Linked DNA regions of Danio rerio. The protein of the gene in region 2 purifies or fractionates together with the protein of the main gene of each other region. This does not show direct contact. Links are inferred from orthologs where the notes say so. Each region holds a gene or a part of one and is shown on either strand. Other genes may lie near its edges.

Region 1 (3,831 bases), on a different chromosome or scaffold from region 2:
GTGTGCGAATGTTTCCCAGAGATGGGTTGCGGCTAGAAGGGCATCCGCTGCGTAAAAACGTGCTGGATAAGTTGGTGGTTCATTCCGCTGTGGAGACCCCGGATTAATAAAGGGACTAAGCTGACAAGACAATGAATGAATGATTGAATTACATTATTTTGTACGTTATGTTTACTGTGTGATGACTGGTGAGTCAGATTTTTGAACTAAAAAGTACTTTACAAGGTTGTAAACAACCGGTTCACAGAAAAGAACCAGATTTAGATATTAGCCCATGTGGATTAAAGGTAACAATGTTGCAAAAATAGTCAGTTGCTTTGCTTCTTAAGATCATAATGTATCAACAGGAACCACAGGTATTACTCTTGTTTTGCCTGTAAATAGTTTTTTTTTTTATGTCCCAAAGGATTACTAATTAATGACTTTAATTATACGAATAATTATCTGAAGAATAAAAAATTTTTTGCGGCTGTGTAAATAAACAGTATTTTGTATTATTGGGGTAAACTATCCCTTTAACTGCAAAATCCACATCCATGAAGTCATAGTTGTCAGAAAAATCTTTCTAATTATGAGCTCTATTCTTTTTACAAGCTGGATGCTCGTAATTCCGGCACAAAAGTATGAACACATCTTAAACAGCTTTTATTAGGCAAGTGATATGAATGATCCCAGTTGAGCGTGCATGGTCCTTCAAAGGTACTATTTGTTTAATGTAGGGAAAAATGACTGAGACTGACGTTCTTGCACTTCAGCCAGAGCTGTCACTCCGTTTACAGCCAGCCCTCAAAACCCAGTTGAGTATTACAAAACATATTCTGGCCAGTTTCAATATCCGCTGGACAAATCAGAACAGAGGATATCCAAGTATGACAGTATATACACAACAGACCTTTTACTTGTCAAGCCAACATGGCACAGATACTGTACGTCTAAACAAAAAAAGTTCTGCAATTTAAATCTGAAAGCAGATTTTGATTTGGCTTTGTTTTTTTCGTCCAACACACTGTAGTAGATTTATCATTGAGCGTAACTGAGACCTCAATCATTATTAATGACCCATCATATGAGCTGTGCTAGCTATCATCCTTAAAGAGCTACTCATATACAGTAGTTGTATATTGTATTGTAAGTTTAAGAAGTTATGCAAAAACTTAAACATGAACTGCCTAAACATTTAAACCATTAAAATAGCTTCTTTGGCCCTTAAATCCACAATACACACTGTTATAATAAAAATGACAAACTATTACACGATAGTTCCAATGCATGTTTAGAAGAAAGAGTCACAAGAGTTTCGCTTGACGTTAGTTTAGAATTACTCATAGACTGTTCAAACCAATCTTCTAACCGATGTTAACATAAAAACCACAATACTTTGACTTTTAGTGAGTGTGATTTAGTTTGCTGGCTCAGAAAAGTCTATTTTCCCAGAATTGCTGTAAGAAGGTAAAGAAACCTGACCCTGAATAAACTGCACAGTAGAAAACAGATGGGCAGGCAGGCCAGACCAGACAGATCATTCCCACTAAATGGCTGTGTAGCTAATTCTATGCAAACAATAACACATAATTTGTATTCACATCATATGTTTTTTGGAGTGCAATGCTCTATTTCCTTGTAGCTTTATTTTTTTATTCTGTTTTACCTGATTTTTCACTTTAAGGAGACAAACTCCAAGACACTTTAAGCTTTAAAGCTAACAGACCATTTGCTTAACATGAACCTAAACTTAACAGCATGATTTGCCAGTACTGCACAGAATCTATTCTCTATCATTTTCTGAAGTGTTCAAGCGTGATGTTTTGAAACTGCACTAAAGGAATACTGATTATTATCAATGTTGAGCACAAACAGTTGCTGCTTTGTTTTTCTGGAACCTGTTTTTTCCCCACCTCAAAAATATAAAAAAGTTCATTTTATTAGTTCAGTCTATTTGAAACATATTTTGGTAACACTTTAGTTTAGGTCACAATTCATGCTATTAACTGCTGGCTTATTACCTGTCTATTAATAAGATGTTAACTGTTCATTAGCAGTTATAGAGCATGCTCTTACCCCGCATACCTAATCCTACCCACAACCTAAACCCAACTTTTACCCAACTAACTTTTAATAAACAGCTAATTAGTCATTTATTAAGTTTGTAGTGTTGTTAATGGTTTATTAATACATTGAATTGTGACCTAAACTAAAGTGTTACCCATATTTTTAATAATATTATAAATGTATTTATTGTCACTTGTTTATTTAATAATATGCTGAAGCATAAATAAAGACTGATATTTTAATAAGATGAAGGCCCACATGTCCATATGGTTAGTCTGATCTAGTTTTATTCTCCATGATTTCTTGGACCTCTGAACACTCGTGAATACACATTCACCTACCTTCAATTTGTGAGATCTTTTTCTCCGTTTCTTTTTCCATAACCTTTTGTCCAAATTTGATTTCAGCCACCTGAGCCACCTTCTCTGCCTCTGCAAACATGATAAAACAGAGTGACATTATTTCACTTTTATGTAATCGGAAACCAATTCACCATGATACAAGACAGACTCGGGTTTAATACTCAGAAAAACATCTTTGCTTACCAATGACAGCCTTTTTCCTCTCTGTCTCTGCCTCTTTCTCCACCACCTTCTGAGTCTGAGCTGCAATCAGTAACTTTGTTCTCTCACTCTCCCTGAGGAACACATGAACAAACACACAAAATATTAAACAAAGGAAAGTAAGAAATTATGTTTGGTTGAGCAGGATCACATCAGATGAAGTTGCACAATTATCAGATATATATGTTTCTGTTAGATGTGGTTCAAGTGTGAGAGAAAAACGTCCTCCTAATTCAATCACTGCATTATATAGAGCACACCAAATTACTGGCATGAATCTAGCAGGTATGTAAGCCATGCAGTTTCCAAAAATTACTAATAAAAGTGTTACTGATACTAATCTAGCTGATTTAGTGTTAGAGGGTAAAGTTTAAAGTAAAAAATATTGGTAAATAATTCTGATTAGATGTTTAACTTTGAAAAAAAATTACAAAACAGCAAGAATCAAGTATGATTAAGTAAAAAAACAAAAAACAAAAAAACACCATTCTTTTTTTGTCCTTTGTTCTGTTTCCTGCCTTCGTTTTCACAATATCTGTATCACCTGTTTGTGCATTTACAGTAGGTTCCTGTTTCCTCTAGTTCATTGCCTGGGGTTTATTCCAGAAAGCAAGTTTAACTTACTTTCACATTAATCCTAAATTCTATGGTGATTAACCTTAAACCTGCATACAGGTTAAGTTCAGTTAAATCATGTTATATTAACCTTCAACACAAAAGAGATTCCCAACAGCATGCCAAAACCATAAGTCATCATTAAAGCAGCACGCAACGCCTCTTCTTTCTTTTTCTTCTGTTTAATGGTTAGTTGTATTCTTAGTGAGTTTCTCCCCCCATTGGTTGGTTGTCATGCATTAGTTTGTAATCTTGATGTTAGATGTATATTTTTATTATGAACAAAAAGTATGCTGTTCACATTACAGGTTAAATATATATTAAATAATTAAATGTATATTGCTCATCATAAAAAAAGCTTTATTAATAAAATAAAGTACAAAAAAATCTTATTTTATAATAGCGTTTTATTGAAAATGTGATAAATACATTAAGGAACATACATATAAATCTCTGAAGCAGGTTATGTTTCAGGTTTAGTTCACCTCTGAGTTTTATATCTGTTTTTTTAATATATTTATTCAGGGAAATTTATTTAGAGCATGTTTCTTTTGCAACTCACAGAGCCGTCTTCCGGTGTGCTAAGTTTCATGTTTTTCTTTCA
Region 2 (3,831 bases):
GGGATTCTTCAAAACGAAGATGGCTGTTATATGGAACTTAAGGTATTAATAGTGGCTTTTGAATCGTCTGATTGGTGAATCATAAACTGAATAATGCGGGAGTGACTGCAAGCAATCATAAGCACGTGATCCTCTCGAAATTAGTTTACAAATAAACTTCACTTTGGGACTATATTTTCCATGTATTAAATAATATGTCAAAGTTGTAATTTAGAAGAAAAAAAAAACAGTGGTAATGTGACTTCCTCACCTGTAGTCTTTCAATGATGTTGCGATAGTCTCGAGAGGTGGTCAGAACAGAGTCTCTCCGAGTCGCGTTACGGACAGAGAGTCTCCAGCTGAGGGCTGTTTTCTGCACAATGTTGTTGGACTTCATGAACAGATTATTCACCTGACAGTCCAGATCCACAGGAATGGCTATGGCTCTGCCTTTGGCTGCACATTACACAACAGCAAATCTGTTGAAATATCCTACATGATGAAATATCTTAAATGATGAAAACAGCTGCTGGAGAGGATGCTCTTACCCACGTCACTCAGCACTTTGATGCAGGCTTCCACATTCCCCTTCTGACCTGGGAGAAGCCAGTTGCAGTGATATACACGAAACACTCCCTGCAGCAGCTGCACAAACACCGGCTGCCGGGTCTGAGACACAAGGAGACATAGATGGTACTTTTACACCTTAGACTACCTGCAAACTTGTGCTCTGGTCTGATAGAAAATACATTTCATTAATTAGAATTAGTTTTGAAAAATCTGTCCTGATGAATCATTCAATGACTTGCTCATAAAACTTCAATAAAATGAAATAAATCAAAGTTTTGAGCGAATCTCTTGAACTTAGAAGCCACATTTTCATGCAGTGCTGTGAATTGTACTTTACAATATCACATAAATTGTTTATAAACAAGAATTGTTTCCATCCTATTGTTTCTAGTGTTCAAAAGATCAAAACTGTCACAAGCTTAAAAAATGTGCAAAAGTACTAAAAGCAGAAATGAAATGGGGGCTACCTGCAAACTTGTGCTCTGGTCTGAGAATGGTGAGCTGAAAAAGGTGGTGACGATGCTCATTATGGTCTCTGTAACGTATCTCTCCAGAACTGTGTCAGCGTGTTTACGGTCACTTGTGTTATTGCACACCTAAAGGAAAGTTGAGTATGTGATTATCCAGACCCTCTTGACCATGTATCAACTGAAAACCATTGGTAATTTGAGTCTTACTCTGCAGACGTCCACCAGAAAATCATCAAAAAGTTTCCACATGTGATTGCTGGTGTAGATCTCCTTCATCTCAACCTCTGTATCAACATAACAGTGATTCAGGAAGTTCACGTAGGCCATCTTCACCTGCAAGCGCAATTATAAATTCTTATTTTATAAAGTCACACATCCCAGTTTGGCTACTAATACTGGAAAAAAAAAAAGACAATTTTTATTTTGGTTGTGTAATAGAAGAATAGGCAAGCTTTGGGACAGGGGAGTCAAACTCATATCCTGGAGGGCCGAAGCCCTGCACAGTTTAGTTCCAACCCTGCTCCAACACCCTTACCTGTAGGTTTCAAACAAGCCTGAAGGACTCAATTAGTTTGATCAGGTATGTTTAATCAGGGTTGGAACTAAACTGTGCAGAGCTGTGGCCCTTTTGGAACTGAGTTTGACACCTGTGCTTTAGGACATGCTACTTTGTCATTAATTAACAGTTCTGTTAGTTATGGCCAGATATAATCCTTGGACACTTTTTTGCAGTTTCTGCGTAGAATTTTTGTGGAATTATTTTGAGAGTGTAGTAACCAAAAACTTAAAATATGAAGTAACAAATAATCACTTTTTAACTTTTATTTAAGGTTTCCAATGCAAATCTTATTAGATCCACAAAGCAAGTCTCTCACATATCTACTAAAAGACAGAACATATTACTTTACAAACTGTACTATAAATATTCATGTAAACATTTGCATATTAATCAATAATACTACTGAAAATAATGTAAAAACTGAATAAATATATATTTAGACTCATTTAGTAAAGAAACTAACAAGTAAAAAAATAGACTCAATGATGGGCTAAAAAACTTGCGCATTTCTGCATGAGCAGATTCCTTACTCCATGGGAAATTAAGTAGCACATTCAGCTGACGTTCAAGGATGTTTCATGCAGATACATGTTTATAAAACTTTTAAAATACTGTTGCAGACGGAATATAATCCAGATAACATGAAATAAATAGTTAACATCAGGTTTAGATTTTAATCATTATTCATTCAATCCCAGATACAACCTCTATACGATTAACCATCGTATCCACAATGTTAGTCGTTTATCAAAGCTATTTACCTATTTAATGTGTTGTGGGAAACATTAGTCATTAAGAGTCTGAATTCAACTAGAAAAAGTAGATTAGCAATATCCAGTTTAACATATTACAATTTGTTATAGACAATTATTTGTTTATGGACTGTGCAGCATCAGACCAACAATTTACTTTAGGTTGTGAAGCAATCCAAAAAGTGCACACACCTCAGGGATGCAGTCCTCATGTGTGACCACACGTACAATATCATCGAGAGGGAGCAGCGAGTTGCATTTGATCTCAGTGTAGACGTTCTTGCCTTCAGTGCACACAGCCAGCAACTCCACCAGGTGAATGTGATACCTGTAAGAGTGAGCATGAAGTCTTATAATGACAACAACAAGTACGCAACAAACCTTTTCTGACTTTTTAAATGCAAATGAGAGATGTCATTGTAACCTCATTGTGAGTGCTGAAAACTGAAAAATTCAGAGGCAGAGCACAGATATTTACAATCATAAAACAAGATATTCTGCACCAACTTCAACAAATTGAACAAATATTGACATTTGTTCAGTTCATACTAGCATGATTCAGTGCAGTTTTCAACGTTAAATAGATACAGTAACAATCTATATTGTAATATTGTAGAGACAAGACGTGTTTGGGCAGTTTTATCTCCGAACCTGAGTGCACTGCTCTCATCAAGTCGTTCCCGCTCAAGACGCATCATCTGAACCAATGACTGAAAAGACGCCCGGTCATTATAGAACACCAGCACATCCTCACCTGCAGTCACCAGCTACACAAACACACACATAAAACATATTTACTAAGTAATACTCTGTGTATTTCAGCAGTCTCAAAACTGTGAACTTCTATCTGGTCAACAAACCTCAGCCATGACGATGTCTTGGCATTTCTTGATGAACTTGTTCTCTGCCTTGACAATGGTCTGCAGGAACTTGAGGTAGTGCACGCTGCGGCCGTGTGTCTCGATGCAGTGCACAAAATGCTGCACGACCCGCTCATTAATCTCACTACACAACTGGAAATTATTCATGAAGATATGCTGCATGGTCACCGCCTCCAGGATCTAGCAACAGAGAGACCAGGAGAAGTATAAGAATGAAAATTAAAATCTCTCTCTGTGTTGGTTTTTTGTTTTTGGTTACAATATAATAACATGGGTATGACCTAGGTAATAGAATGTTAAGGTGGTTTAAGAGGACTTGCCTTGTGTTCTTGTAATCAAAACTGTAAAAATAACAGGTTCATTTTCAAAAAGCCAAAGTTTTCCAGTAAGGACTGGGGTTTAGGGTAGGGTTGAGGCAATATAAGTGTTGAAACTCCGCGGACCCGGTACCAGGTCTGTGACGTCATGGACTTTCGCTTTCAGATTTAAAGGGCTAGCGTTGCACCAGACCCCCGTAAGTGGTTTCGTTTGAAAGTGTAGAATCTATATTTTATGCACATATGCATCACTTTGGTTTATATTTTACTGTATAAAAGTTATTTACACTTAAAACACAGTAT

Evidence for each region.
Region 1: the proteins of itpr1a (region 2) and erlin2 purify together in Homo sapiens (affinity purification with western blotting, with the first as the bait; 4 studies listed by BioGRID). This does not show direct contact. The link is inferred for Danio rerio from reciprocal best matches to the Homo sapiens genes ITPR1 and ERLIN2.

What each region holds. Positions count from the first base shown.
Region 1 is NC_133180.1:36,102,500-36,106,330, reverse strand, and holds part of erlin2 (erlin-2), read right to left. Parts: intron 2,687-3,831; coding exon 2,595-2,686; intron 2,481-2,594; coding exon 2,391-2,480; intron 1-2,390. UniProt on the Homo sapiens protein: Component of the ERLIN1/ERLIN2 complex which mediates the endoplasmic reticulum-associated degradation (ERAD) of inositol 1,4,5-trisphosphate receptors (IP3Rs) such as ITPR1.
Region 2 is NC_133181.1:42,512,243-42,516,073, reverse strand, and holds part of itpr1a (inositol 1,4,5-trisphosphate-gated calcium channel ITPR1), read right to left. Parts: intron 3,392-3,831; coding exon 3,191-3,391; intron 3,098-3,190; coding exon 2,982-3,097; intron 2,659-2,981; coding exon 2,523-2,658; intron 1,353-2,522; coding exon 1,227-1,352; intron 1,146-1,226; coding exon 1,017-1,145; intron 649-1,016; coding exon 528-648; intron 436-527; coding exon 251-435; intron 1-250. UniProt on the Homo sapiens protein: Inositol 1,4,5-trisphosphate-gated calcium channel that, upon inositol 1,4,5-trisphosphate binding, mediates calcium release from the endoplasmic reticulum (ER).